Alligator mississippiensis: one gene and its partners. The protein of the gene in region 3 interacts with the protein of the main gene of each other region in a pairwise test. Links are inferred from orthologs where the notes say so. Each region holds a gene or a part of one and is shown on either strand. Other genes may lie near its edges. The genes, in order: TOR1AIP1, VAMP4 and LMNA.

The links.
Region 1: the proteins of LMNA (region 3) and TOR1AIP1 interact in a two-hybrid assay, tested with the Homo sapiens proteins (2 studies listed by BioGRID). The link is inferred for Alligator mississippiensis from reciprocal best matches to the Homo sapiens genes LMNA and TOR1AIP1.
Region 2: the proteins of LMNA (region 3) and VAMP4 interact in a two-hybrid assay, tested with the Homo sapiens proteins (2 studies listed by BioGRID and IntAct, with this or other methods). The link is inferred for Alligator mississippiensis from reciprocal best matches to the Homo sapiens genes LMNA and VAMP4.

What each region holds. Positions count from the first base shown.
Region 1 is NC_081828.1:51,636,382-51,646,338, forward strand, and holds the start of TOR1AIP1 (torsin-1A-interacting protein 1), read left to right. Parts: upstream 1-5,371; coding exon 5,372-6,146; intron 6,147-8,048; coding exon 8,049-8,108; intron 8,109-9,222; coding exon 9,223-9,270; intron 9,271-9,957. UniProt on the Homo sapiens protein: Required for nuclear membrane integrity. Induces TOR1A and TOR1B ATPase activity and is required for their location on the nuclear membrane. Binds to A- and B-type lamins. Possible role in membrane attachment and assembly of the nuclear lamina.
Region 2 is NC_081828.1:44,982,590-44,992,678, forward strand, and holds the start of VAMP4 (vesicle-associated membrane protein 4), read left to right. Parts: upstream 1-6,103; 5' UTR 6,104-6,191; intron 6,192-7,159; 5' UTR 7,160-7,223; coding exon 7,224-7,289; intron 7,290-10,089. UniProt on the Homo sapiens protein: Involved in the pathway that functions to remove an inhibitor (probably synaptotagmin-4) of calcium-triggered exocytosis during the maturation of secretory granules.
Region 3 is NC_081838.1:17,274,662-17,285,126, reverse strand, and holds the start of LMNA (lamin), read right to left. Parts: upstream 5,003-10,465; 5' UTR 4,910-5,002; intron 4,182-4,909; exon of another isoform or gene 3,737-4,181; 5' UTR 3,667-3,736; intron 1-3,666. Other genes in the region: RNA-binding protein MEX3A, read left to right, coding at 5,846-6,368.

The DNA of each region.
Region 1 (9,957 bases), on a different chromosome or scaffold from region 3:
AAACAGGAAGTCAGAAATAAAAAGCAACTCTACTGTGTACAAAGTTCAAAACTTACTTGTCTAAATGCAGCAATCTGGGGGGATTTCTCAGCAGAGGGTTGTTACACACACCCCTGCACTTCACTGCACTGCCAGCTTCCCGGAGACACTTTAGTTTTGACGTTAGAAATGTAAAATAGTCCTCTCAAATGCACACACCCGTCACTTCTGAATCCTTCCACTGTCAACGTGACAATGAACTTTGTACTGGCTCAGGTTGCCCGAGTGGAATGCTGGGATGTGTAGTCCCTTTCACCCTCTCTGAATGCAGCTGCATTTCTCTTCATGAATAGATCAGCCAGTGGCATTGTTTCCCATGGTAAACATGTATTTTTAGGAAACAATAGCACAGCAGATTGGAACTATTTATAGCACTCTAGAATTTTATAAAGCATCCTTCAATCAACGTGTGTACTAAACAAGTCCATAAGTTAAAAAACAGAACTACAGCAGAGGGAAAGCTTAAGAGATGTAAAAGAAGGGAGGAAAAAAAAGATGATTTATGACCATAAAAAGACTACAAATGCAAAATCTGTCACACCTCAGAGTATGGACTATGCATGCCATGGAGTCTGTCCCTCTGGGCTGTGAACCTGCTGAATCACTGCAACATTATGGTAGCACCCCTTGCCTTCTGACCTGCCTCAGTGAGCTGTGAGCAGTGTTGCTGTTAAAGTCTTAAGAGACTGCCAAAAGGCAGATTGCTAGGCCACCATCCACTGAAGACCTGGTCATGTTCCTGAGCACTTGGTTGGAAGGAGGTTTCAGGTGAGATGGTGGGGACCTTACCTCACTGTGGCCCACCCCTGTAATGGCATATCATGCCTTGGGAACTGTATCTGCTGCTGCTGGTCATGGCTCAAAAATCAGTGGGAGCTGGAGGTTTTGGCACTCCAAGCCCCAACCTCCAACCAGATCACGGTCGGTGCCTTCATGGTGAGGATCAGCCTAAAGGGGTTCCTGGAACAGGCCATGGGGTGAAGTACATCAACAATTTGAAGGGGAAACTAAACCATAGCAAAGTCTTCAAGGTTACCTTCAAATGGGATACCAGCAACCACTTTCTGCCTCAGGGAAACTTGGTTCACTTTACAGACAGGTGCTTCACCTATTCAGCTTACTTCAACTATTTCCATAACAGCACCTTCCATGGCAACTGGGACGAGGTGCTGGAGCTGCCACTTTGAGAACAAGCCTCTGCTCCATGTCCCATGTGGCTGCAAATCGCACGCAAGAATATGGCAACTTTGCAACAATACCATACAGGACTGGCTGGTCCCAGTCATCTTGGTATCAGTAGGGACAAAAACCACATGGTCCCAGCCTGCAGCAGCCCACCGAGACTGGACATTGTCTTGTCATCACTAACGAAGATAGTAAGAAAATCCTGATTGTCGATGTGACCAGCCCCTTTAAAAACCAGTGGCAGGCTTTTGCTAAAACCTGGGAGTGAAAGCTGATGAAGTACAGCCTGAGACACTGGGAAGAAAGGGATACAATGTGATGGTGCAGGAGTTGAGCATCAATGTGTTTGGTGCATGGGATCCAAGCAATGATAGCATCCTGAGTGCCTGCAGAATACCTAGCACTACTTCAAGATGATGAGGCACTTTGTGGTCACCACCATCAGATGGTCAACGGCTGGCTATCATTGGTAGAAAGAGAACCAACAGAGGACATCAGCCAGAAGCAAAAGTGGGGAGCAAGACTACAAGAGACACCACCACTATACTGTATAGACTCTAATGAAAACCAAACACATTTCTGTTTGTACTTCACCCTGGGCAAATGTAGACTGCATGTTAAATGCAATGCATCAGACTGTTCTGTCATCCTCCAGCAGTGTGTACCATTGTGCAGGGTCCCATATTTCTCATAGGTATACTGTACCACATAAAAGTTTCAGTTAACATTCTCTCTGCCATTGGGGGACTGGAAAGGGAAAAGAAGCGTTTCTCTCATTGAACTGGTGCAGATTGAAAGAGGTGGGAAATCACTGATCTCTCTGCACAGTGGGATCCTGATCTTAGCTAGAGTGTTTTGTTGCTACCATAATACAAATAATCATCTGCTGTTATTTGTTATGTTGGAAGCATGTTAGAAAGATATTTTTCTCAACTCAGTGTCCATTTAGAAAATACAGGTTCTAGCCCTTTTCCTGTTGGCCTTTTTGATCACTTCATTAAATCAGCTTTGCTTATTAAAAAAAAAAGTTTAGGAACTGGTTTGAAAATTAGCTTCTATAAATGAAAATAGCAATATTCAACATACTACCTGTCCCTATAATAGTGATGTTGACAGAATTAGCCATAAGAACAAGCTACTCACAAGACACAGGAACTAAAAGGCTGGCCTAAAATTCCCAACCTCCTCTTAGCAAAAGGATCAGAGATGTGATCTGATACTGTCTAGAAAACTGGAAGTATACTGCACAGGGTGAGCCATATTTAAGGAAATGTTTAAGTTCTTATAAGTTTCTTCTTCAAAGTTACTGAAACATGTCATCTAGTTCCTACTGTGTGAACATTCCCTTAATCCATGTTCACTAACAGAATATAAATGCTGCAGGATGCATGATGATGATAAAGCCAGAAGGAATCATTATGATGAGTGAGACTAACCCCTGCGCATAATGCAAGCCAAGGGATTTTATACTAGCAAGTCCTTCACTGCAGGGACTTATTCCTCTCTGCGCTCACTCCTGGCCTGGCTGGAAGGTGCACACTAGGGCTGTGTGAAATTTTGCTGCCCGTTTTGTTTCAACGCTGTTTCAAGCCATTTCGACCTCGAAACAGCAAAGTCAAAACAGAACAGGCAGGGCTGAAACAGGGTCGAAACAAAACAGGGCAGGTCAAAACGTTTGGAAAAATTCAAAACGTTTCGAGTTTGGACCAGGAAGCTGGGCTATGGGCTTACCTTCAATGGCTTGGCTTGCTTCCCTGCGGGGAAAGAGAAAGTAAAGTAAGGGGATGGAGGGGGAGAGGTGAGTGGGAAGGAGTGCTGTCATTATTGACATGTGTAACTGGCCAGTGCCTGTCACCCTTCTCTGAGGTCCTTTCCAACCCCATTGCTCTGGGGGAGGGACAGAAAAACTGCATAAAAGGCAGCATTTTTTGGACCTGCTCCTGCTTTCTGCCTTGGGTGACTTATTGAGCTGTCTATTCTAGCAGCTCACTGTCAGACCACTAGGGCTAGCAGCACTGATTTTCTAAAGGGTTCCCTGCTTGTTACTGTAGCGAGAGGGATTTCAGAATACCTTTTTCTTGTAGGTGCTTTTATTATTGTATTCATTGATTTATTCTTTTGAATTTTATACTTATATTGGATAGGGTTACTATAGAACCTATTCTATATAGGAATTTACTATATATATTTGTTTTTATACGGACATTCTTTGCACCATACCAACGCTATTGAATTTATATCCACAGACATATATATTTCTACCATGTTCATAAATCTCTTGCCTGCACCAGTAGTACAGATTTGAGTTTATATAGGAACACAAATACATTTATATATTTCTTGAAAAGGAAGTCCTGAAACACCTCATGAAGAGTGGTAGAAAGGCAAGTGGCAACACTGGCCAGCCTTCAGGGAGGGGTGGAAGAGGGAGAGCTGTAAGTCCCCCCTACCCCTCACCAAACTGAGACGCAGCCTCTTTCCTCCAGCTGAAAGGGATGAGGCCGCTAAAAGCAGCAAGGAGAGGGGAGTGGTGCCACTGCCACTGCCCCGCCCAAGACTGCATCCCCTCCACGCTCAGCAGCCATAACCGCACCCCACCATGACCACAACCAGCAGCACCAGCACCATCGCAGCAGTCTACTCCACCCCTATGTCACTTCCCATGCTGAGCCTTCCAGTGCCAGAAGAAGAGCTGGCGCTGGATCTGGATCTCAGTGCCCTAGCAAGGGAAATTCTGGGGAAGGAGGGGGAATCAGCTGAGTTTGTGCTTGGAATTCTGGCACACTGCAACCTGCTGGACATCTGACACCCTAGGTACCTCTGCACTTTTACATCCCCCTTTCCACCTCACCCTTTCCCTCACCCTCACGCCTCCATTTCCATTTTCACTGACTGCCTTTCTTGCCTGCATTGCGTGCCAGGCCAGCCTCTGGCTTCTTTACTATTCCTTCCATCCAGGACCAAGAGACACACCAACCGCAGGTACTTCCTCAGCCTGACAAAGGGTTTTTCAACCTGAAAGCTTCCTAAGAGATATTTCTCTATTCCTTTTTTTTTCATAAAGAACATACAAACATAAAAACACAGGATAAGCCATCACACACACCACGAGTAACATATATCCAACACAACATCTTTACTTCTTGCTGTCAATTCCTTTACAAGAAAGGCTCTGTGACAGTTGTTTGGCTACTTTAGATGCTGCTGGTGCTATTGCTGTTGAGCCAGCTACGTTTTCACCTGCCATCATTTACTGTGGTAGACTGGACTGAGGCTGTAGGGGAGGAGGACTCACTGGGGCACACTGCTGTGTCGTGCAGAGGCCCCAGTGCCAGGAAGGGCGCACCTGAACACACAGAGTCACCCACCCATGTCATGAGTTTTGCCTGTCACCAGCCAGAGGTGTAGGGCCCCAGAACCCAGAGTGCCGCTGCACCTCTCATTGAGACCTGGTAGGCTTCATTACTTCAGCAGGGGCTAGCAAGCCTGCAGTTTTGACCCCGCTGTGGCTTCACACATACAAGTGATAGGACTTTTGCTCTCAAGACTTTGGGGTGCAGTTTCTTTGAACCCCCCTACATCTATCTCCTTGAAGCTTGGCAGGCTTCATGCCCTCGTAAGGGGCTATCATTCCTGCAAGTTTCATCTAAATCAGGCCAGAAATGACAAAGTTATAGCCTGTTTTGACCTTCCCCATTATATCCTACGGGGGAAATGTCAAAACAGGTTCGAAATGTAGAAATGTTTCCACAGAACGATACGGAACAGCCGTTTCGACTCGAAACAAAACGCTGTTCCGTCGAACCGTTGGTCGAAACAGAATGCTTCCGTTTCGCGCAGACCTAACGCACGCTGCTCCTTTATCTTCGATCTGCTACCAAAGGTCACAAGAGCAATATTGTGCTACTTGTCTTCAGCAGAGCAGGGTGAGGGAAGAGTTAGGGCCAGATCCAAGTACTGTCTGTAAAACATCTCTGAATGGTAGGAGGAGGCTGTAAAGGAAATCCTTTTCCGACCTTCTTGAGCCCATGAAAAACTGTTACCGTCAGAGAGCGCTTGCTTCTTTTTGTGACTTTGTCCAATTTAGGCTTAAAACTTAGGCACGTTGCTGTTTTTTTCAGGAACTTGAGCTGGCTGGAATAAGATCATGCTTAGCCTCTCGGAAACCACGGGGCAACATGGCGGGGGCACAGGCGGCACAAGCTCGTCCTGCCGCCTCAGAGGCGAAAGCCCGTCCGGCCCCCGCCGCCCAACTGGTCCGGTAGGACCTGCCTCATGCCAAGGGTCCGCTCTGGGCTGCTCCACGTCGCGCCCGGGAGGCTGTTTTCACTGCGCCCGCTGGAGGGCGGCCTCGCCCGGGCCGGGCTCTCCCAGCTCTGCTCCTCGCTGCTCCGAGCCGGGGGCGGCGCCGCAGCCGCTGCCCGTCACAAGCGGCGCCGGTAAGCAGCGGCTGCAGACGCGGCGTCGGCCCGGACTGCGCGCACCCCGGCGGCCGCAGGGAGGGGAGAGGGAGACGAACCCGGACCGGATCAGGCCCGAAGCCATGTCACTCGCCCACGCTACGCCGCGGGCCCCGCTGAGGCCGTGCTGCGCCGCCGAGCCGAGGGCCCCACAAGATGGCGGCCCCGAGCCAGGCGCGGCCGAGCCGGGGGATGCTAGCACTTCCGGCCCCAAGCACAGCGGAGCGGAAGTGCGCGTTCTGGCCCCGCCCTCGGCGGGACGAACAGGGCGGGACTACGGCTCCTTGGAAACGGAAACGGAGGCGGCGGCGATGGCGGCTGGTGTGGGCTACGAGTTGCGCTCGCGGCAGCGGCCCCCGGCGGGGGAGACGCCGGCGGGACGTTGGGCGGGAGACGGGGCCTCGGGCAGGGCGAGGCCGTCGAACACCGCGCCCCGGCGCGGGATGCCTGACGCGCCGGCAGGTGAGCTGGAGGGCCCTGGGGCGGGGGCTGGTCCGGCCCCTCGCTGCGGCTACGCTCAGCCCCGTGCCCAGGGCAGGTGGCTGTGGCTGCCCTTCCCGCTTGCGCAGGGAGGCCCCTTCCCTTCCCTTCCGGTGCGGCGGCACCAGCCCCTCCGCTAGCAGGGAAATGCCCGAGGCGCCGCCCGCCCCGAGCCGCGGGAGCCATTGTGATGGCAGCACCTGCCCCGCTGCCGCCCCCACGGCTGCGGCTCTGCCCCCAGGAGGCGGCTCTTCGCGGAGGGCGGGTCGGCAGCTCGTGGCCCGCCGGCGGGGTGGTAGGGAAGGCTGCGAGAGAGGCCCCCCGCCTGGTGCCCGATGCCACAAGGAGCTTCCTGTGGGGTCGCTGCTAAAAATCTCTAGGGAGGTTTCATGGACTGGAGTCTCCTGAACTAGGGTAGCTTCCCCCCCCCCCCCCGGGGGTGTTCCCAACTGTGTTAGGTGCTAGTCCACCCAGCAAGGTGGTAGAGCGGGTACTGCATCACTAGAGGTGCAAATTGGGGCTTGGCTGAGCTGCAAATGGTTTCCCAGCCATTGTGGGTGGGTGGTCGGCAGTGGGCAGGTATGAAGGGAATCATCCACTTGCTCTCTTTTCTTGTCAGCCACCGAGCTGGTGTGCCACAACTGATCTGTCCCCCGCCCCTTCCCTCCCTACTCCCCCTTCTACCACAACAGACTTACCAGCTGCACACAGCTCTTCTCCTTGCCTACATTTATCTGCCACAGTATCAGGCACATCAGGCCGGTTTCTGATACAGTCGATTTTCTTTATATCGGTGCTGATCCGATATTGGACTGACGTATCATGCACCTCTAGCCAAGAGCGTTCTGCTACTTACTACCTTCTGCAAAGAAATTGCCTTCCTCCAAGCTTCTATGTAGCAAGACCTCTGGTTTCACAGTTCCCTGAAGTTTAGTTATTCCGTGATGGTTAGGATAGTTTCATCTGTGCTTAGTAGAGTGGAGTTACCCTGGGGTTTGTCTTTTTATTATTATTATTCTTGCCCTCTTTTACAAGACTGGGGGTTTTGCAAGGGGTTTGGGTGTGAGGAAATTAATTTCTTAATCCACTAATGATGTAAAGGGAAATTGACAATCCACAGATTATGATCACTGATGCTTTAGGGTTGAGTTGGGGGGCAAATTTGGTGTATGATTAAACATGGCGCATTCACAGAAATCACTCTCACATGGTGAACGAAAGGATAGGATTTGGAGTTTTTCTTGGATCGTATTGCTCATTCAGGATTGAATCCTACCTGTTTGCTTTTTTTTACTTTAGGCAAAGGCTTATTTTGACTTCTACATCCAAAATACAGACCTCTAGCACTTGAATTAATGGGCATCCTCTTCGTGGAATATCCATTACAGAGGGATGAGGGATGCTTTGCCAATGGCATTCAAACTTACTTCCCAGAAAGCTGGGAAACTTTGGGTCCTGGGGATCCTGGGATCATTTTCAGGGTCTAGATTCGATTGTGTCATAGTAGTTATAGATGCCTGTGCTCCTGTCCACCATACTTGTTTGCCTTTTTTTATACACAGCCTATTCTATTCCCACTCCCCTTCCTCTTGGCTTCTGCTGGTACCTTGCTCCTTTGCCCTAGATATACCATTCACTTTGTCCTCCCCGTCCCACAAATCTCAAGCATATGAACAAACTGCTTGAGGGTCTGGTGTGCCTGCAGTGGGGGAGGGAGTAGTTTAATAGTATTCTTGAAGGAATGGAATGGAATGGAATGGAATGGAATGGAATGGAATGGAATGGAATGGAATGGAATGGAATGGAGGGCTGAAGTGGTTGGGAGAAAGAAATGATGGCATGGTGCTTGAGCTTGTTATGCATTTAACACATTCTTTGTTTTAGGGAGTGAATATCCCTTTGTCAAATTGACTCGACCCAGCATAAGAAGTTTTCAAAGGGAAGGTAAGTAGTGATTTCTACACCCAGTGGAGGAGCTTTTCACTCCTTGCAGTCTAATACTATTGAAACAGATTTCTAGGGAGTATAGATCAGTGGTGAAAGCAGGGAGTAGGAACTGGGGGATGGCCTTGGTTCCCTTTCCAGTTTTACCATTGATTTGTTGTATAATGTTGGGCACTTAATCTTGCACCTCATATGTTTACCTTTCAAAAGGGGAACAGTGCTCTGGTATCTTGTAAGAATTTTTGAAGATTGATTGATTCTCCCAGCAAGGATGCTGTTGGGGGTGTCATCATGCAGTGTTAGCACTGTTAAGTGTGCAAAGAATGTTTTCAAGATAAACTCATAGATTTCAATAGGAATACATGGATTTACAAACCTTCTGACCTGTTGCAAGCTGAGTTGTTTTTTTTTGTGTGAAAACTAAGAGATGGCATTTTCAGAGGGGTGTCATGAGTCTTAAAAGGGGTGTCTTAAGTTTGATGAGGGGTGCTACTAGTATGTAGCACTCTGAAATTAACAAATAAAGGGGTCTGTAGAAGTGTATGTGTTCTATCAAGTGCATGAGATTGTAGCAGTACTTGGCTGAAGGTATGAAAGAAGGGTTGTGAGTGAATCTGCTTGTGTTTCTTGGTTTTGGAGAAAAGGTACGGTGACTAAATATGATGACAATATCTATCTAAACAAACTAGGAAAAATGAAGTAAGAAACCCACTTACCTGGCATGAACTGAATCACATGTGGAGCTTGTGAAAAGACCACTTCCACTCTATTCGTTGTATACAGTTACTTTTTGTGTGATAGGACTGCCTTCTCTGCATCTAGAAGCATAGACTTGTACTAGCTGCATGATACTGAATGTGATGTGTTTGTGTTTTTACTTCATTTGCCACATCCCTTGTTTCTTTCTAAAAAGACATATTGCAAAACTACCCTTTGGAGAGTTAGACAGGAAGCTATGTCTGTAATGTATAAGTGGTTGTGGAGTCATAGCTTTTGTCCTGAGAAATGTATTGGTCGCTGCAGTAGAGAGAACTACACATGTGAATGTAACCACTTAATTTCCTTCCTTTTTTTTACGGCTGTGTTAATCATGTTAGTGTTCCTTGCCTTACAGAATATGCTCTCTTCAGTGAAAACAGAGATTCCAAAACGTGTGAATCAGGTTGGTTTAAGTTTAACGCATTCTAGTTTGCTTACTACTGAATCTCGTTTGTTACTGCGGTAGTGTCAGGCCTTGAGAACAAAATGTTGTTGCTGGCTGGACTTTGGCTGTTGTGTGAAGAATGCCAAGAGGTTGGCTGTTCCAAGTGGATACTGTTGATGATGTTAGTGGAATTACTTTTTGTATTGTTTCTTACAAAATACAGAAAGAAATGAGCCTCTCTGCAAGCTTGGGGGGAGGGGGCGTGGCTCTTATGAGAGGATGCCTATTTCCAGAGCTTAGTTTAAGATTCTCCTGTGAGCAGAATCGAAACTCAAAAAAAACCACCCAGTTTCTCAAGCTGAGCTTAGTTTCTGCTTAACCGCAAACATTGCACAGGCTGCAAGAAGATTCTAGAAATCTGATTAAAGCTGAGAGTGCTGGCAAAATCTTAAGAATGCATATATCAAGGTGTTGATATATTTGATATACTTGATATGTTTAGGTGTTGATATACACCTAAATTAAGGTTATGGCTATATTTAAACTAGTATTCAAAATGTGTGAGCAAGAAAATGTTAAGAATCAAACATCAATGCTCTTTTTTTTAAGTTTCTGTTTTTAGTGGACAATGATTTTGAACTGAAGGCATGGGTTTGATACCACGTTGGTTGCCATTTGGCTTCATGCCTCAGGGTTACAGAATAT
Region 2 (10,089 bases), on a different chromosome or scaffold from region 3:
TTTGGAGTTGTGTGTAGTAGTCAGGGGATTGTATATGTTTAGTCCACAGGGAATGAAGTTGTGTTTCGTGCAAAGGCTTAGAAAATATATGTCGCTGTTGAGTCTGGCTTCTTTCTGTTTCATGTTGTACAGTTTCCATTTCAGACGGCTGAATTCGATATCTTCCATGTTGCAGGGGTTTAGGTTGTAGCCGTGTTGGTCTAAGGACACAGGCAGACAAGGTTCCTTGGGTGAATTTGATATCTTTTATTAAACCAACCCAAATAGTTGGAGAACAGTTATTAAGCAAGCTTTCGGGTTCAAAAACCCTTTGTCAGGCCAAGGAAGTTTCAGCAGTTGGTGTGTGCTCTTCCTGGATGGAATGAAAAATAAAGAAGCCAGCAGCTGGGCTGGGGAGTCAGTTGCCAGGCAGATTATAATGTATCAAAAATCCAATGTCTATGTTTAGTCCATGATCTCTAGTATCCAGGAGGTTGATGAAATGGAGCTCATAGGCTCGTCTCTGGGAAGTGCTGTGTAAATTTCCCTTGAGGATCAGGACTGAGAGATTGGAGAGAGAGTTCCTCAAGAACTGCACCATCAAACCCTTGCTATACTTAAGATACATCAATGACATCTTCATCATTTGGAGTGAGAACCTGTAATCTCTGATTGAGTTCCATCAGAAATTCAACAATCACCATCCCGCCATCCTACTTTCTTTAGAATACTCCAGCACCAACATCTCCTTTTTAGACACAATGATCAGTATCCAGAAGGGTAAAATACAGACCACAATATACAAGAAACCCACAGACCAACATACATATCTGCACAGAACCAGCAATCACCCGAAACACACCAAAAAAGCTGTGATATACAGCCAAGCCCTCAGATACCACCGCATCTGTACTGAAGAGAACACCCGGGATTGCCACCTCACCAATCTTAAAAAGGCTTTCACCCAACAAGGACACTCATCCAGAGAGGTAGATCGCACGTTTGAAAGAGCCACCCGGATACCACGTGAAGAACTGCTGCAGTACAGAAGAAACCCCCCCACAAATCGCACACCGCTGGTTATGACCTATCACCCCTCCCTTGAACCTGTACGGAAAATCCTCAAAAAATTGCAACCCATATTAGAAAGAGACCCTATTCTTAAAAAGATCTTCCCAGAGCCACCCATCCTAGCCTTCAGACAAGCACCGAACCTTGCCAACCTCATCACCAGAAGCAAACTTCCTCAAGCCCAGAACACACCAGAAGGATCCAGACCGTGCCATGACAAGAAATGCAAAACCTGCCAACACATCTCCACCACCCCCACTGTTACTACACCCCACAACAGAGCCATCAGCATCCCAGGATCTTACAGCTGCACCTCCAGAAATGTAATATAGCTCATCCAATGCACCAAATGCCCTGATGGAAAATATGTAGGAGAGACCAAACAACAAGTGCGCACCAGAATGAACGCACACTGGAAATCCATCAAAGACAGAAATACCCAATTACCGGTGGGGGCACATATCTCACAGGAGGGCCACTCTCTCTCCAATCTCTCAGTCCTGATCCTCAAGGGAAATCTACACAACACTTCCCAGAGATGAGCCTATGAGCTCCATTTCATCAACCTCCTGGATACTAGAGATCATGGACTAAACATAGACATTGGATTTTTGATACATTATAATCTGCCTGGCAACTGACTCCCCAGCCCCTGGCTTCCTTACTTTTCATTCCATCCAGGAAGAGCACACACCAACTGCTGCAGCTTCCTGAGCCTGACGAAGGGTTTTTGAACCCGAAAGCTTGCTTAATAACTGTTCTCCAACTATTTGGGTTGGTCTAATAAAAGATAACAAATTCACTCAAGGAACCTTGTCTGCCTGTGTCCTTAGACCAACACGGCTACAACCTAAACCCCTGCTTCCATGTACAGACACTCATCCTGAAACCAAAGTGTCTTCTTCCTGTTTTACCTCATCCCACTTTCAGTATAGGAGTAATTGAAATTTTCTGGTCAATATTTTATAAAAAGTCATATTAGATGACATTATGCTTTCAGATCATTGAGTCTGTGAATATGAATGAGGACTTCAGTGATGATGACATCTTGGAGTAACTAGCATAAGGGGTCATTTGATCACACTCAATGCAAGAATCAGGTTTTTTTTTTCCTTCAAGCTGTGGAGTGTAAATTCACAGAGATCTGTTCGCTCCTGCATCACTTGGTGATATCTGACCCAGTAAGATCACGAGCAATTTGCAGAGTGAACTTCTGTCTGGAGTGTGCAGCCATACTTCTTGTTAATATCAGAGCAAGTTGTATCTGGACCCTGGGCAGAATCTGGCTCATAGTGCTGTTATTTACTCAGTTCCAAACTGAGGCTTTAAGAGCCCACATCTTATAATTGCATACAAGGAAATCTTGCTAAATACATTATCTATCATTAAACTGCTATCAAAAGCAGCATGTGCTCCGCAATGGAAACCAGTTACGAAGTTCGTTAAATGCAGCCATCATTGAACATGACTATAAAACAGATGGCCCACACTGGGTAAAAATAAATATATATATTCAATATCTATTGACCTATCTATCTTTATATTTATATTTTGGCAGGTATTGAATTTGCTCAGCCTTTTGGCTCTCTGTTGTCTGCCCCGGCACATCTTACAAATCAAGAGAAGCAGGGCTAGAAGTGATCTCCAAAGGTCATCTAGTCCAAGCCCCTGCCTGAGGCAGGAGCATCCCTATCCAAACCGTCTTATACAAATCCATAATCTAAACTCTTCATAAAACTGTCATCAACCCAGACACAAGACAAGACATAACACCCTAACCTGCCACAGGTAAAGCAGGGGAACGAGGGCAGCCAACATCCTGTTTGTGTAAAAAGGTTGTTAATATACCTCAAGAGATCCCAGGTAGAGGCACAACACCTACTATGGAGGAAGGCAACAGCTGGCAGTGCGATGCTGTAGCTAGTAGGGCAAATAATACTCTGGCATGCATCAATCGATGCATCTCCAGCAATGCCAAGGAGGTGATTCTTTTGCTCGACTCAGCACTGGTGAGACCGCAGCTGGAGTACCGTGTCCAGTTCTGGGCACCACACTTTAACAAGGACGTGGACAAGCTGGAGAGAGTCCAAAGAAGAGCCACCCGCATGATCAGAGTCTTACACAGCAAGCCATATGAGGAAAGGCAGAGGGATCTGGGACTCTTCAGCCTGAAGAAAAGAAGGCTGAGACGGGACCTGGTAGCAGCTTACTGCTACACTAGGGGAGTACATCAAGGGCTTGGTGAGCAACTGTTCACCAGGGCACCCAAGGGGAAAACCAGGAGTAATGGCCACAAACTCCTGGAAGATCAATTCAGGCTCAACATTAGAAAAACCTTTTCCCAGTCAGGGTGTTCAGACTGTGGAATAAGCTCCCTCCAGAGGTGGTGCAATCGCCTACCCTGGAAATCTTCAAGAGAAGACTGGACGGTCACCTTGCTGGAGTCACCTGACCCCCAGTTATCTTTCCTGCTTGGTGCAGGGGGCTGGACCCGATGATTTTCCAAGGTCCCTTCTGGCCTTCCAATTAATGAATCTATAAAGAGACCTGAGTGTACACACACACACACACACACACACACACACACAGACACACACACACACACACACACAAATATTATAAAAGTTTGCCTGTCTGTTTGTCCATAACGCTTTATTCGCGCTTTGATTGGCTGACAAACATCCAATCAGAGTGAGAACAAGCATTCCAACAGGAGCTGGCAGCCAGTGGAGTGCTGCCATGATGGTGGGGACAGAGGGGAAGGAGGGCAGGGGGCAAGGCCAGTGCATCCTGACCAGCATGGCCTCACCCTGCCTGCCCTGCTCCCTGGAGGCGGGGTCAACAGAGGGGATGGAATGCAGGGGAGGAGGAGGGACGAGGCCACTGGAGCTGGTCTCCCCCTCCCCTTTACTCGTTGCAGGTGATGGCAGTGGCGATGCGGCGGGTATCAGGGTTGGGATGCCACAGGGGGGCCAGGCCATGGCTCTGGCCTCGATCCATCCCTCCCCGCCTTCCACCATTGCTGCCTGCAGGGCCTGATGTGGGATGCCGTGGCGGTGGTGGGAGAAGTGAGCCCGACGTGGGTTGGGGGAATAGCGAGCACGCCATGGCAGAGATGTGGGGAGGGGAGGAGTGGGCCCTGGGCCCCATGCAGCGGGGGAACAGGACTGAGCTCAAGCCAGGGGAGACGCTGGCCCACCACAGCAGAGGGAGCAGCGGGCCCGTGGCCAACCCAGTGGTGGCAGGGGAATGAGAGGAGGGGGCTCGGAGCTGACGGGGGGAGGAGTAGGCCTGGGCCTGAGAGGTGAAAGCAGCTCACTCCTTCCCTCCCCCAGCTGCTGCCGCGTCAGAGTGGGACGCTGCTCCCCTCACTGCTGCGGTGGGCCAGCGTCTCCCCTGGCTCAGGCTCGGGCCTCCTCCCCGCCACTGGCCCCTTGGTGCTGAGCGCTTCTCCTGTTCCCCTGCCCTCGCTGGGTCAGCCCAGGCCTGTTACTCCCCCTGCTGCAGCAGGCCAGCTTCTCCCCACCCTTGTGTCTGGCCCTCCCCTGCATCAGGTCTAGGCACACTCCTCCCCTCCCCCCACCGCTGCGGCAGGGAGCGGGTCCAGACCCCAAGCAGCAGAAGGTAAAGGGGGAGTGGGCCCAGACAGGGTTGGGGGGGCACGGGGCTCTGTCCCCGCATGCTCCCCTCCTCCCCCGTCATTCCTGATGGGCAATTGACTAGTATATTTATATACATTCTAATATTATACAAGCCTTTGTCTGTCTGTCTGTCCAGGAATGGGCCCGGACCCGAAGGGGAGGTAGGGTGGGAACGGGCCCGGACACAGGTGGGAACAGGCTGTTCCCTGCTTCCCTGCCTCGGGTGTCTCAGTGGGCATGACCTGGAGCGGGGAGCTCGTAGCCCCTCTGTGCAGCCCTGCTGTTCCCAGCCCGTGTCGCTCCTGCTGGGCTGGAGAGGCACCTGGGGCAGGGCGGCAGGGAATGGTGGCTGCTCATCTTGCGCTTCCCTGGGGATGCACAGCCTGTGCCTGCCGCTCTTTGAGGGAGGGGTGTGGCCAGGGCAGTGGGGTGCAGGGCCCTGGGACCAGGCAAGGAGAGGAGCCAAGCTGGGCCCACTGCGCCTGTGTGTCCGCCCCTTCCCCTTGGAAGTGTGTGAGGCAGTGGGGTGCCGGCCTCCCCCTCCCACTTCCCCGAGCCACTGGAGGCTCCGTCCTGCTCCCTGCTGGGGCCCTGCACTGCAGCCCCGGGCCCCAAGCACCCCCTGGCTCACCTGCAGCCCCAGCCCTGCCCAGCTCCCTCCCTACACGGGCCTCAACCTTCCTCTTCCCCCCCAAGCTGGAGCTGCCCTCGAGGCTGCTTGGGGCCACGTGGGTGCACTGTACATGCGCGTGGCGCCACCTGTCTCACTGCCTGCCTTCCGCTTCCTCCCAGCTCCCTGCAGGCTGGAACACAACATCCGAGTTTTGTCGCATAAAGCAAATTTCTGGTATAAATAAGTGAATTCACATATAGAGAAATTTGTGAGAAAAGAATTCGCATAAAGACACGAGCATGTGTGTGTGTGTGTGTGTGTCTTAGTGGTGCTTCATTTAAATCATGGAAAAGTGTGGATTTGGGATTAATTTTTTAACTGAAATTTCAGGATTCTTTTAAATCTGAGAAAACCAGGATCCCTGGTGATGAGAGAGTAATGACAGCAAACCCAGAAGTCCGTGAAGACTCCCTGAGTGACTTGGGTTTTGCAGCTGCTGCAACAATGAGCCGCCTCAACAATTACCGTACATTTGGAGCACTTTACTTATTATTGGTCGCACTTGTACAAAAGCAGAAACGACCACACAGACGCCGTAATTATCATTCACCCGCCAACGCTACCGGGCAGCGACCTACCCCCACCCCGCCTGCTGACGTCGCTGCGATGAGCCGGCACGAGTGCCCTGCCCCAGGCCTACAGTAGCCGGGAGACGGAAGCGTGGAAGGGCCAGCCGCGCCCCTCCGCCTGTGGGGGAGGGGAAAGGGGGAGATCGATGACTCGGCGGTCGGCCCCGCCCCTCAGAGGGAGTGTCGAGTGCTCGATGGAGCAGCTGACTCGGCTGCGGCCGCAACACCAGCCATTTCCCAGCCGGGCCTCGCAGCGAGGTGAGCGGGACGCGGGTTGGGGTCGGGCGTGTTGCGTAGCTCAGCGCAGTGGGGGCCGGGGCGGCCTTGGCTTGGCCGGGCCCCGGGCGGAGCTGCGCGGCCTCCGGCTCCGGTGCGCTCGGCTCGGGGTCACGTGAGTCGCCGGGGGGAGCAGGTGGGGCACCACGTGACCCCGAGGACCTCCCCTGCGGCTCCCCTCCCTCCCAGCACTTGGTCCTGGCCATCCCCAGGCCTGGGGGCCGGGGCCGACCTTCGTCTCTGTCCTTTTGAGCGGGGCGCGGGGTCGGGGGTTGGTTCCCCAGGGGCCAGAGTCGGCAGTACCGGGCGAGGCAGGGCTGCAGCTGTCCCCCAGCAGGGTGGGAAAGACCTTCAGCCCCATCAGTGTGGGCCAGGCCATGGACATCAACCAGCCCTTCCTCCCGCAACCCCCTCTTCACACCTTAGCGACACTTCCTGCTCCTCCTCCCTCTTTTCCTCCAATTTTAGTTTCCCTTTGCTATACCCTTCGCTTCTATTCCCCCAACCCCAGTATTGTCACACAGCAACTCAGCCGTGGGGCTGCACCAGAGATGCCCAAAGACACTGTTAGTACCTCGATGCATTTGCAGTCTGGAGCCCCTCTTTGCACTGCCTTCGGGTGGTGGTGGTTAGCTGTGGAGCGCTGAGTGATCCTGCCAAGCATGTGACTCCTCACAGAATGGCCAGAGTTTAGAGCAGTGCTTGAGCGTTCCCAGGATTAGGGTTTAAGAAACACGATCAAATTGCCTTTCCCTTTAAGAGGGGCTTGTGGGGCTGTGATGGTGCGACATAACAATGGATGAGGTACCGCCTTTTGTTTCGTGGGGATTCTGGTGGTGCTCTCTGGTTGCCTTCCCGCTGTTTTCCCGGGTGCTGGAGAAGGGGTGATAATGATTGCCAATTGCATGTAAAATTAGATATCAAAGACGCACATTTTTCCTCTCTCCTAGGCAGCATATTTCTCCCCACACCTTCTGTACTGGACCATCAAGGGCATCTTTTTGAGTGGAAAACATGCCTCCAAAATTCAAGCGCCACCTCAATGATGATGACGTCACTGGTTCAGTGAAAAGTGAAAGGGTAAGTGCCTGGTGGCCTGTGGTAGCCTTGGCTACATTTGTTAGTGCTTTATTCCTTGCCCTCCTTGTATATTTAACAGCTCTGTGTTTACTGGAGGTGTAGGAATAGGCTTCACCATGTGGCTTTGTTACTGATGACTTGAATAACTTTGAATCAGTGGGGGTCATGTTTAAAGTGCACTACACATGAATGAAGTCCATTATTTCACCAGTATTTATTTCTTTATATGCTGTCTGTCTCAAAAAAAAAAAAAAAGACTCAGGGCAGCTTACAGTAAAGCCCAAAATAATTTTGTACAAGCAGACCAAATACTGAATAGTAGGTATGGATGTAACAAAGGTCTAAACCCAAAAAATTGAGAGAGGAGGGTGTGGCATGTGATAAGTAGTCCCAACAGTCGGCTTAAGAGAGATGTTCAGCTTGTTAACTGAAAGGCAGTTCTTCTAAAAGCCTGTGATGTCTCATAAAATTCTGGCTGGCTCTACTCTTTTGTAATTCCCAGAATGCATCATTTGATGACTTCACAGCTGCTGACAAACGGCTGTTACAAAGGTTTGGTCTGAGATGCATGTGTGTATTGATTCCCTTTTTGCAAATAATGTGTTCTAAACGGGCACTGAAAGAGGATTTTAAAACAAGAAACTGAAAATCTCTTGGAAGCATGGTGAGACTTTCTAATTTGGACGGGCATTTAATAAGTAAAGCTAGGCTGGGATATTGGTTAGGTTTCTGTTGATTCTCTGCTTTCCTTCTAAGGTGATTTGTTCTCTTGTTTGTTCTTCTATTTTATAACTTATTCTGTCCTCTTATTGTAAGCCACTCTGAGCCTTTGTTGGGACGGGCACCTGTAAATTGAATACAGTAAATCAGAGTTGTCCAGCTTCCAAGCAGCAGCAGCATAGGCACAGCTTCCAGTTCCTTGGCCCTGGCATAGCTCCTCACTGCTGAGCCCCAGCATTGGCACAAGCACAGACAAAGCCCAGTAGTTGTGCAAACCAGCTTTGGCCCACAGGCTGGATGTTGTCCTGAGTTAGAGCAAAAGGAAAGACACTAACAGCACTAGATCTTTCTCTGAGAATAATTTCCTATAAATGTTCTGCGTGTTGTTGCTCATTCCAAGTTCTAGCCCGGTGTATTTTCATATATGAAGGACTCGTAGTACTTGTTGCACCATGAGGGAGGTAAAATATTGGTCACAGGTGAAGAATGCACCTTGTGCAATTTGTTGAAACAAACATGTTTGTTTTCCTGTACATCTTGGTCCTCAGAGCTAGAACAGAAATCTGAGGGAAACAGATGAACAGCCTTGAAACAAATAAAGTGTACTATTGCCAAAAGAGCACTTGGCCAGTTTTTGTCTTCAGCCTCAAGATTATTTCATGTTTCCATGGAGTCCTGTTGTAGCTGTAGTGTGATACTGCAGCTATAGTCATAGCTGCATGGTTGTAGAATATAAAAATGAATGACATGACATTATTTTTAGATGTGGTGTATACTCCCTTTTAGCTTGGCAGGTATGGCTGGTCTATACAGTTTGATAAAGTGACTTGATTAATTATTTATTTATTTTGTCAGAAGGTCACCAATAAATACTACACGTTTTGGTGGAAAAAAGAGATGTTCTGGCCTTTATTTGTATGAAACAACTGTATGAATAGATTGGTTATATATGTAACAACCCTGCCTGAGCTTAGGTGGTTAAGATACACCAATTCTAGTAGACATTGGTTATAGTGTTGTGATTGGCATGATGTCTATACTTTTCCCTCCTTTGGCTGAATGACCAGGTACCCCTTTGACTTTGTCTCTCTGGAAGCCATAGTGGAATGCTTTAACCACCTTCTACCCTGTGCCTTTTAACTACATAGACCAGTGGTGTATAATTCTGGATGGGCCAGTGGTTGAGCACCCCCAGGTAGACTGTCACGTGTAGCACTTTTTTCTGAGGAAGCTGGAAAATAGCTTAATTATTGAGTATTGTATCTGATACTTGAATGTGCAGGGCACTGCTACATAGTTGTTCTGTGTAACACTAGACAGGTTCAGGGTAGTATACAGCATGATATTCTATTCTGTTTCTCTTGCATATTGCCCCATGTAACCTGTTTGTAATTTGCATGCACGTTTTTTTTTTTTATATTGGATATTTGCACTATAAATGAATGTCGCACTTACCGTGAGGTGGCAAAACAGAACTATTGGTAGATAGTACAGGCAAATTACTGTAATGTCTCACCTATAATGGCCTAATAGCACAAACTTAAGCTGAGAGGGATCTGATATATTTCTGTTAATTAAAATGTGTATGATTTTTACATGCTTTGTTCAATTGATCTGATCTTTAAAAACTGACATTAACAAATAAGTCTGTTTTAGGTACATCTGATTTGTGTATGAGATTTCTCTCAGCTTAAGAGTTTGTGCTATTAGGCCATTATAGGTGAGACACTAGGTCACTACTTACCATTCTGTGATAATGCAGCATACTGTGGTCTTCTATTTGAAACCCCTTGTAGGTGAAACTTGTACTGCCGAAAAGCTGTCTAAACCAGGGATGCTCAGCCTCTGGCATGCAGGCCAAATGTGGCCTGCAGAGCCTTGGAATCTGGCCTGCAGGCTCCCCATGGATTAGGAAATTTGGCAGCGGGGAAGCTGCCAAGTTAATACTGTTACCCATCTTCGCTGCCAAAATCCCAGGCAGTGGGTCAGAGCTGGGCCACAACCCTGTCCCTGCATGGGCAGATTAGGATCAGGCTATACCCCTTTCCCTCCATGTGTCTGGGTTGGGGCCCCCTTTTCC
Region 3 (10,465 bases):
GCAGGGCCTTGCTTTTCTTTGATCACATTCAGTGTCATTGCCCAGCGAGGGGACGAGGAGCATGTGATTATCTCAGAATCACAGACAACGAGGGTGGGAAGGGACCTCGGGAGGTCACATCTAGTTCAAAGGAGGTTCAGCCCCAACTAGACCATCCCAGCCAAGGCTTTGTCAAGCTGGGCCTTCAAAACCTCCGAGGATGGAAACTCCACCACCTCTGGGGAACCTGATCCAGTGCTTCACCCCCCTCTTAGTGAGAAAGTTTTTCCTAATATTCAACCTAAACTTCTCTTGCTGCAACTGGAGCCCGTTGCTTCTTGTTCTGCCATCTGCCACCACTGAGATCAGTCCAGCTGCATCTTCTTTGGAGCCACCCTGCAGGGAGTTGAAGGCTGCTATTCAATCCCCCCTTGGTCTTCTCTTCTCCAGATTAAATAAACCCAGGTCCCTCAGCCTCTCCATATAAGTCATGAGCCCCAGAACCATTTTCATTGCCCTCTGCTGGACTCTCTCCAATTCATCCACATCCTTTCTGTAGTGGGGGGCCCACAGCTGGACAAAGGACTCCAGATGTGGCCTCACCAGCGCAGAATAGAGGGAAGAATCACTGCCCTTGATCTGCTGGCAACACACCTACTCATGCAGCAACGCTCCTACTGCTGCAATCTTGCCCCCATCCCTGCTGCTTCCTGGAGTCTGCCGCCGTCTTAGTTTGGAATTAGCAATTTGATTGACTGTACCTCTAAATTGGGCTCTCTGAATCTGCACTTAGATCTTCAAGCTCCCATAGCACCCACGCAAGGATGCAATACATATAACACACCTGCTCAGAAAGATCCTCATGTGAAAACCAGAATTCATGGTGCACAGCTGTCCTGTCTTGAGCTACAATTTTGCTTTCTGCCCCAGATGCCTGAAGATATTCCGGTTTCAACAGAGGCCCAGCCTCACCACAAATGACTTTCTTTGCCAACTTTAAACCTGAATAACTCTAGAGATCTTGTGCCCACCCCAGACACCAGGGGTGTCAGGCAGCAGGAGGAATTGATCCAAGCAGGTGGGGTGAGTCTGAGTTATTACTTAATCCCCATAAAAAAGAACTGCAAGGGGGTGATGTCACATTATATTTTTTAGCAGGGCAGTCTCATGGGAGATCCTTATTTCAATGACTGCAAATTAGGAACACAAGCCAGACCTCCTCCTGCATGCTGGCTCTCAGGACTATACAAATAACCACCTAGGTTTTACAGCACTTGGGAAGATGAGTCATTAAGCCGTGAGTCGGTCTCAACCTTCACACTATGTGACCCGCTGACCACGCTGGTACGCGGATCCCAGGTTGGAGCTCAAGCATAGGGGCCATGTCTACAAACACTCGCCTAAAGAGTTATTACGAATGCAAATAGAGTCTGTCCACGGGGTCATTAGCTAGAGTAAGTGTTCAGCAAGTAGTTGCCGGATCAACCCCACAAACAAAACCTAACGAACGCACCCAGCAAAATGAGTCACTGGCACAGCATTGCCGACTCCTGTGATCTGGAATGCAAGGCTTGAGGTTTGCCTATAAACCCCAGCTCTAGGAGTCATGTGAATATGGGGAAATCTCCTCAGCATTCATGTGAAAAAATAAAATAAAAGGAAGTTTGAGCCCTTATGGAGAAAAGCTAGAAAACATGACCTGATCCTGAAGTTTCAGAAACCAGAAGGCCAAGAGAAAGCAGCCCAGGCTCATTACTTTGTAGGATGACATGACTTTTAAGACAATTTTGTGATTCTGAGGCCAGGGTTATGATGGCTGAGTATTGGCAGTTGACACTTTGTCAGCTCTCTCTCTTTTTTCCTCTTCCACTTTCCTTATTTCAAGGGACACGGGTCTGTTCTTGAAGTCACAAGGTGGAACGTAAAATGGGGGTTGGATGAAAGGCAGACTTCCTAAGCTGAAGTGCTCCCTGAAAACAATGCACAATTTTCTGTCCTGCACATGTGACCAAATTCTGACCTGGTGAAAAACAATTCCTGAGTCCTGTAACTTAGAAGTACGTTATTTTCCAAAGACACAAATTCAGCTACTAATTCCCAAAACTATAAATGTATATGTGTATGTATGCACACACATATAAATATACTTGTGTATTAGACACACCCACGTGTGTGTGCTCACAGGTACTTTTAACAGAAATATGCACACATATGTATATACTCTCTCCGTGTGTGTGTGGGGGGGTAAGTGCTCACACATACACATACATATGCAAATATAAGCATATATATATATATATATATATATATATATATATATATACACACACACACACACACACACACACACACACACACACACACACATACATATATATTGTGTGTATATATACATACATACATATAATGTGAGTATGTATATATACACATACTGTGTGTATATATACATATATATACACATACTGTGTGTATATATACATATATATACACATACACATACATATGTGTGTGTGCATGTATATATAGATCTGTGTACACATATACACAAACACACATATACACATATAGATATATTTACACACGTGTGTACATAGACATTTTTGTACATGTGCGTATATATAGGTCTGTGTGCATGTATATACAAACACACATACACATTTACATACATATACACGTGTATATACACACACCTCTATGTATATTTGTGCATGTATATATAGATCTGTGTGTATGTATACACACACACATACATATGTATATATACACACACACTTACATATATATGTAAAATATATTTACATATATATCATACACACATAAATATAAATAAGCACATATCTTATATGTGCAAATTACATACACAAATATATGTACTCAGATATACACATATGCACTGCATATACATGTTTATGTTGTATGTATGCACGTACATGTCTAGATATATACCTGTGTTTGTATATATGGATTTTAGTTTCTATGGCAGTTTTCATTATAGACTGCATATGTATGTATAAGTAATATATATCTATATAGACATATAGATCTACATCTATAGCTATATCTATTTATACATACCTCTCTATAGATATATCTATATAGATATATACATAGAAAGACGGCGTGTGCGTAGATGTCTATGCTTATTAAACATGCACACACCAACTCACATATACATACCTAGAGTACTCCTATGTCACTAGAGTACTCCTATGTGCATCTAGAGTACAAATGTGCATCTAGTAAATACAAAGTGCATTGTCTACGCCTATAGAGACATTGCTCTGTGTATGCCACCGCACACACATCCACTGTTGGTTATAGGAAGGAAATCACTCCAAACTGCTGGCATTTGACAACCGATCACGCAAGCACGTAAAGGTTAAACCCAAATTCAAAACACGGTTGGAAAACCATGGTCTGAACCACTGGGTTAAGTCCCCAACAGCGGCTTCAGGGGGGCTGGCGGTACTTTGTGGGGGTGTAAGGATTGCTTGCTGAACACTGAGAATCCCAGCCTACCCTGGACTCCTTTCCTTTTCTGTCTGAGCCCGGCATGTGCCCTGCGGTCTGCTGCCACCGCGGCTGCCCCAACTGGGTACTACCGAGCAGGCTCCAAACGCAGCCCCCCCAGCCAGGCTGCAGAAGTGCCCAGGCAAAGTTGCAGGGAAAGCGATGGCAACACCTTACCTTGTTGAGTCACCGTATGAGACATTTCCTTGTGCAGCTGCTGAGTTCATTCCCCAGCTGAGCTCTTCTGCTGTCAAACCCAGGAGAGAGAGAGAGAGAGAGAGAGAGAGAGAGAGAAAGACCTTGTTGGCAAAGCGCTGAGAGCAAAGAGAAAGGGGGGGAAAATACAGTGATGAGGGGCAGCAAATTCCTTCTTCTATCACCAACCTCCCTTCTGCCCCCACACCCCCCTCACGCCCAGCCAGAGATGCAGACACAGTCTCTGCCAGGGCTGCAGTGGAGTGCGCTGGATGGGGGATCTCCCATCTTCCCGCATTGTCTCTCTCCAGCAAGAGCCAGGCAATCTCATTTCATGGGAGAGACATCTGGTTCGATTCAAAGGGAAGAAAGGGGGAGGGAGGGAGGGAAGAAACCCTTGCAGGCTGGGAGCTGAAAAGCTATTTTCAATGCTTTCCCCCCATCGCCCTTCATTTCAATAAGAAAAGGGAGAGGGGCCCAGCAGTGGCCTCTCTCCCCAGCATCTCTAGATCTGGAAGGAGGAGAGAGGGAGGTGTTATTGCCATGGAGGGTGTCCCCCCTACCTCCCCTCCCCTCCCCTCCCCTCCCTTCCCTTCCCCCAGGCCGGAGAGCTGCCAAGTCCCCCTTCTGCACAGCCTCCTGCATGGGGGCAGGCCCAGGAGGCAGGGATGGATGTGGGATCTCAGGCCTGATCCTTTTGGGGCCTTGTCTGTACGTGCAGCCCAGCCCCCCTGCCCCCTCCTGCTGCTGCGGACCCCAGAGCGGGGTGTGCAAACAAGTGGGGGTTTCCATCTCCTCCCCCCTTCCCTCCTCCTCCCCTTCCTACTCTGTCCCTCCACGGAGTCACTCTGGATTTACACCCCCACAAAACAGGGCAAGCAGCAGGCCCCTTCCCCGCTCCTCCCCCCATTTATCCCTCCCAGGCACTGGATTGACCAGCGCAGCCCCCTCAGCAAGGATTAGGGGCCTATTTTGTCGGGACTGGGATGCCGGGAGCTTAAGTGATTTGCCCAAGGTCACCGGGACGGCCGGTGTCTGTAACTAGGTCTCTAGGGTCCCAATCTGGTGCCTTATCCCACCGGGCCTCCATCTGTCTGTGCACCCCACGCCTGAAGTCGCCCTTCTCCGTCCATCCACCATCCCCCTCTCTTGCTGTCTGCCCTACATCTGCAGCAGAGAGCTCCTCTCTCTATCCACCCATCCAGGCTACATCCATCCATCCAACCTCCTTCTTCATTCATGCTTTCTTCTTCCTTCCTTTCCTTCTGTCTCCTTCCTTCCTGCCTCTTCTTCCCCTCCTTCCTTTTTTTTTTTCATTCATTCTTTCTTCTCTTCTTTTTCTTCCTTCCTCTTTTCTTCCTTTCTTAGTTCTTCCTTCTTTTTTCATTCATTCTTTCTTCTCTTCTTTTTCTTCCTTCCTCTTTTCTTCCTTTCTTAGTTCTTCCTTCTTCTTTTTTCATTCATTCTTTCTCCTTCCTCCCTTTCCTTCCTTCTTGCTGTCTTCTTTCATTCATCCTTTGCCCTTCCTCTTCTTTCCCTCTTTTCTCCTTCCTTTCTTTCTGTCTTCTTTTTCTTCTTTCTGTTTTTCATTCATTCATCCTTTCCCCTTCCTTCCTTCCTCCCCCTTTCTTTCTTTCTTTCTTCTTTTTCCTTCCTCCCCTGCTCTTCCTTCCCCTCCCTCCCCGCTCCTCGAGCGCCAGCCAAGGGGGTGTGTGCGCCGGGCCGGGAAACTACATCCCCCAGCAGCCTCCGGTCCCCTCCGGAGTGTCAGCTTCATGCTGCAGCCAGGGAATTTAAAACAAAAGAGTTTCCCCCTCTCTTTCTCGCTGCCTCCCCTCCGGCTCTCCCCAGCCTCCCTGCCCCTGCCCCTGCCTCCCGCGCCCGCCGCCGGCTCTTTTGTGCGCTGCGGGGCGGGGGGGCGGCCGGGATCCACCTCGGCGCGGAGCTCAGGTTACAGGGAGAGGCAGGGAGAAAGGGGCTTGGCCAGGCGGAGGGGAGGTGGGCGGAGGGTCGCCGCTTCTCTCTCTCCCTCTGTCTCTTTCTTTCCCTCTGTCTTTTTTTTTTCCCTCTCCCTCCCTCCCGAGCTCTTTGTTCCCCCCCAGCCCTCCCCTCCTCTCCCCCCCCCCTCCCCAACCAGCCCCCCTCGCAGCCTTTGTTAGCCATGCCTAGCCTGGTAGTATCGGGGATAATGGAAAGGAACGGGGGCTTCAGTGAGCTGGGCTGCTTCGCGGCGAGCAGCAAGGAGCGCACGCTGCTGGAGGACGACCGCGCGCTGCAGCTCGCCCTGGACCAGCTCTGCCTGCTCGGGCTCGGCGAGCCGGGCGCGCCCGCCGGGGCGGCGGGGGACGACAGCAGCGCCAGCCACACGCCCGTCGAGCCGCAGCCGCCGGCGCCCGCGCCCACGCCCGCCTCCACCCCCGGCCCCCCGCCGCCCGCCCCGGCGCCGCCGCCGCCCCCGCCGCTGCCGGGCCTCGGCGCGCCCAAGGGCGGCGGAGGGGCCGGCGGAGCCCCGGCCGCCCCCCCCAGCGCCGCCGCCGCCGCCCCCAGCGCCCCCGGCCCGGCCGACGCCAAGTTGTGCGCGCTCTACAAGGAGGCCGAGCTGCGGCTCAAGAGCAGCTCCAACACCACCGAGTGCGTGCCCGTGCCCAGCTCCGAGCACGTGGCCGAGATCGTGGGCCGCCAGGGTGAGTGAGCCAGGGGGGAGGGACGCGCCGCGCCGCGCCGAGCCGCGCCGCGCCGCACGGGACGGGACGGGGCTGCACCGCACCGCACCGCACCGCACGGGACGGGACGGGACGGGACCCGGCTATTGTCTGCGTCGCCCCGAGCTCCTCGTCCTCCTCCTCCTCCTCCTCCTCCCAGCCCGCGCACCCACTCACCACCCCGCACCCGCTCATCCCCTCCTCAGCCCGCACACCCACTCCCCCCCACACCCACTCATCCCCCCAGCCTGCACACCCACTCACCCCCCCAGCCTGCACACCCACTCCCCCCCACACCCACTCATCCCCCCAGCCTGCACACCCACTCACCCCCCCAGCCCGCACACCCACTCCCCCCCACAACCACTCAAGCCCCCGTCCCAGCCCTCACACCCACTCATACTCCCTAGACCCACTCAGTGCCCCCCTTTTCCCAGCCCCACTCAACCCCCCACACCCACTCATCCCCCTTCCCAGCCTGCACACCCACTCCCCCTCAGACCCGGTCAGTGCCCCCCTTTCCAGCCCCTGCACCCACTGAACCCCCCACACCCACTCAGTGCCCCCCTTTACCAGCCCCCCACACCCACTCATCCCTCCTCCTCTCCCAGCCCCCCAGCCCCAGTCAGTTCCCCCCTTTCCACACCCACTCAGGCAGGCAGACCCCCCCTATCCCTCCCACCCCCCACAACTCAGCTGCCGCCCCCCTCCCCTTCCCTCCCTTCCCACCCTCTCATCCCATCCCTCTCTTTTGTTGTGATGGAAAGGGGGGCTGGGGGTGCCTGGAAGCAGGCAAACTTCAGGCTAGGGTAGCCTGGCCAGTCCCCTTGCACCCTCCAGGCTTCAGGGACCAGGCCCCCCTCCCACCCCTTCCAAGCCTCCCCAGGCTGGTGACTTCTTTCTTGCATTGTGTCTGGGAAAGTTGCCTCCTGTCCGCTCCAAGTGGCCCCGCTCTCTGGCTCTGGGATGAATAATGGCCACTGCAGGGGAGGGAAGTGGACCCCCTCTCTTGATGCCTTCATCCCCACCCCCCTTCTCCATCTCCCACTGCTTCCCTGCCCAGAAACAAAGTGTTTGTGCCTGTGTCGGGGAAGGGAAGGGGGGGCAGGGGCAATCCATCCCCAGCACCCCCCAGGTGGGGTAGCCTGGGGGTCACCCACCCTTGGGCAAGATGGGGAGAGGGCCCAGAGCGGGTGTGTGGCGGGGGTCCGGGGTCCATAGGAATGTGCGTGCGCTCTCCTGGCCCCTTATAGCTCGGGGGATCCAGAGCCCCTTTTATTGATTTCTGCAATGGGCCTGAAGACAGGATGGGGGTGGAGTGACCCCAACTTCCCCACCGTGGGCTTGGGGAGAGGAAAGAGAAGGTGGAACAGGAGGGAGAAGGGGGGAAAAAAATCCCCTTTGTTGGGCTGAGGGCTGGAAGTGGAAGGGGGTGTGGTTGAGCAGTGGCGGTAATGGGGGAGGTGAGTGCCTGAAGGCCTAGGAAGGATTCAAATAACAGATTAATGAAAGTTGAACTGTTTTGGGGATCATGTGACTTAGGGGGGGGATCCCTGGCAGGGTTTGGGATTGAACCATCTTTGCTCTTGCCCTGCTCTTGACTTCCATTGCTTTTCTCCTCTCCCCACGCCCCCCTGCCCACCAACATCATCGCTGACCACAATCTCGGTGACAGTGATGCTTTTGTTCTCCGGTACAGGCTGCATTCGGTGCGAGGTAGAATGGGGGTGGGATTTAAAATAGGGGGGCAATGAGAGATGTCTATATAGATATATCTATCTATACATCTCTATATAGCTGTATAGATACGCACCACACCCACACTGAAGTCACCCACCCGCCCAGCCCCCCCCTGCAGTCTTCTAAGTGTGGGGAAAAGAATGGGGTTCAGGCCCCAAAGCTAAGTCAGTGCAGGGTTAAAAAACAATAAGGCTGGCAAGAGAAGTTTTGCCTTGGTAAAAGGGGTGGGGGGGGACTAACTTGGAAGCATGGCTAGGGCAGTCTGCGGCTCTCTGGATGCCTCCTCGGGTAGCGCATTGAAATGGCCGAGGTAGGGAGTTTTGCAGCGTTCATCTGGGGGTGGGGGAAAGAAAGGAGTGGGTCGGGGGGGTTCTGGCTTCAGGTGGATGCTCCCGGAGGAGAAGAAGGGAAGGAGCAAGTCTGCAGTGGGGTAGAAATGGCTAATTGTCGTGCATCGTTAAGCTGGAACGGGTTATCGGAACAATAGGGCTGGAGATGGCTTGGCTTCAGCGCAGGCCTCTCGCCAGCTGCCTCGGGTGGGGAACCCCTCGCTGCGAACCCCGGGCCCCAGCTGGGGTCCGGCCCAGCAGGCCCCACATCTGGGCTGGGGGAAAGAGATGCCCTGCACCACTCACAGGGCTTTGCACCTGTGTGAAGCAAGCATGCGAGCAGAGGCGCGTGTTGCACCAACTTTGCAGGGCCGGCCGGTGCCGGATCAGGCCCCCTTTGTTTAATGGAGTTAAGAAACGGGGCTGAGCCCAAGGGAACCTTTTTCCAGAGCTAGGGAGAGGCCTGTGCGGTTCCCTTCTCCCTGGGGAAAGCCCTGACCCCAGCTCCAAAGGCAAGGGGTGTGCTCTGGACACGCAGGGTGGCTGGTGGGAATGGAGAGGGCCGGGGACCCCCGGGGTTGTTTCTCCACCCCACCAGATGTATCCATGGACCAGATCCCCCCCAGCTGAGATGCATCAGTGCTGCTCAGCCAAGACAACGGGCTGGGCTGGATTCTCCTCCTCGGGTGGACACGCGCTTTATTCCACCGCTGTCCCTGTCATTTACCCCAGCTGTGGATCTGGCCAGTGTTTACTACAACGAGGCCTTGAGTGGTGTCTTTTGGGGGCTGCTTTTGTTTGCACGGTTGGGGAACAAGGGCTGGGCTGTTAAAATCACTGCACCCCCCTGTGCTGCAAGAACCACGGGGGGTGCTGGGTGCTGAGCACCGTTAAGAGCCTCCGGCCCAGGCGGGAGGGTGTTGTGTTGTTTGGAAAGCTCTCCCCAGACCCTGCATGGCTGGAAGAGGATGTAGCCGAGACGCCTGGTTGAAAGGCAGCAGAGGAGGAAACCAGTGCAAGCTCGGGATGCACTGGGGGGGCCCAGGAGCTGCAAGGGGGTGTGTCAGGATCCAGGGGATCCCTGCATTACAGACAGATCCATGGATACATTGGTGCCCCCCCGCACCAGCTCTTTCTTCTAGTTAATCTGGCCGTTTTTCCCCCCAAATGAGCCGCCGCGTTTCTAGATGCGTTACAACCCGGCTGACTTATCCCCTCCTGCAAGCTGAGCTCATGCACACGGACACGTGGAAGGGGCCTCAGCCTCGTCCGTGCTGCAGCCCCTTTATGTCGATTTTGAGACCTCCCCCCCACCATGCCTTTACGCCTCTGGGGTGATGGGCGCCCCCGTCTCTCGGTCCCGGGATGGCGGCGATCACGCCAGACGAAGGGGTTTGATCGCGGGGGAGAGGGGGCGTGTCCGCGCCAGAGAGGCTGCAGGAAGTAGCCATGCCCGCGGGCTGCGCGGGCGGGTTGCATGGAGTTTGAGGGGTGCGTCAGGCAGGCATCTTCTCCCGGGAGCCTGCAGACAACCAGGGGACCCCCCTGCCTGTCTCCTAGGGGCAGCCACTCTCTTGCTCAGTGCACAAAGAGCATGCGTAACGCAGCTGTGCTGGGCCTGGGGGCACGGAGGGGATCCCCACCTTGTTCTGGGGCCCCCTGGGCTGTTCTCAGGTGCTCCAAGTTACCTCACGTCCCACCTTTTCCGTCTCCCTTTGTCCAGGCATCTCCCCTACCGACGGCTTCCCAGAGCTGCACGTGCTCGCAAAGTTAAAACGCAAAACATCCTAGCAGGGGCCGGCACAGGGGAGGGGGATGGGGTGGCAAGAATTCAAGGGGGCACAATGCCAGCCAGGGAGCCCAGGCAGCTGGCAAGGGACTTCGTGGGGCAATCAGGATTCAAGGGGAAGGCTCCTCAGCCGGATGGAGACACATGAGATCAGCACGAGCAATGGGCACAATTCCCAATTGCACAGGCCAAGGGGCACAGGTTGGCACCCCTTGTATTAG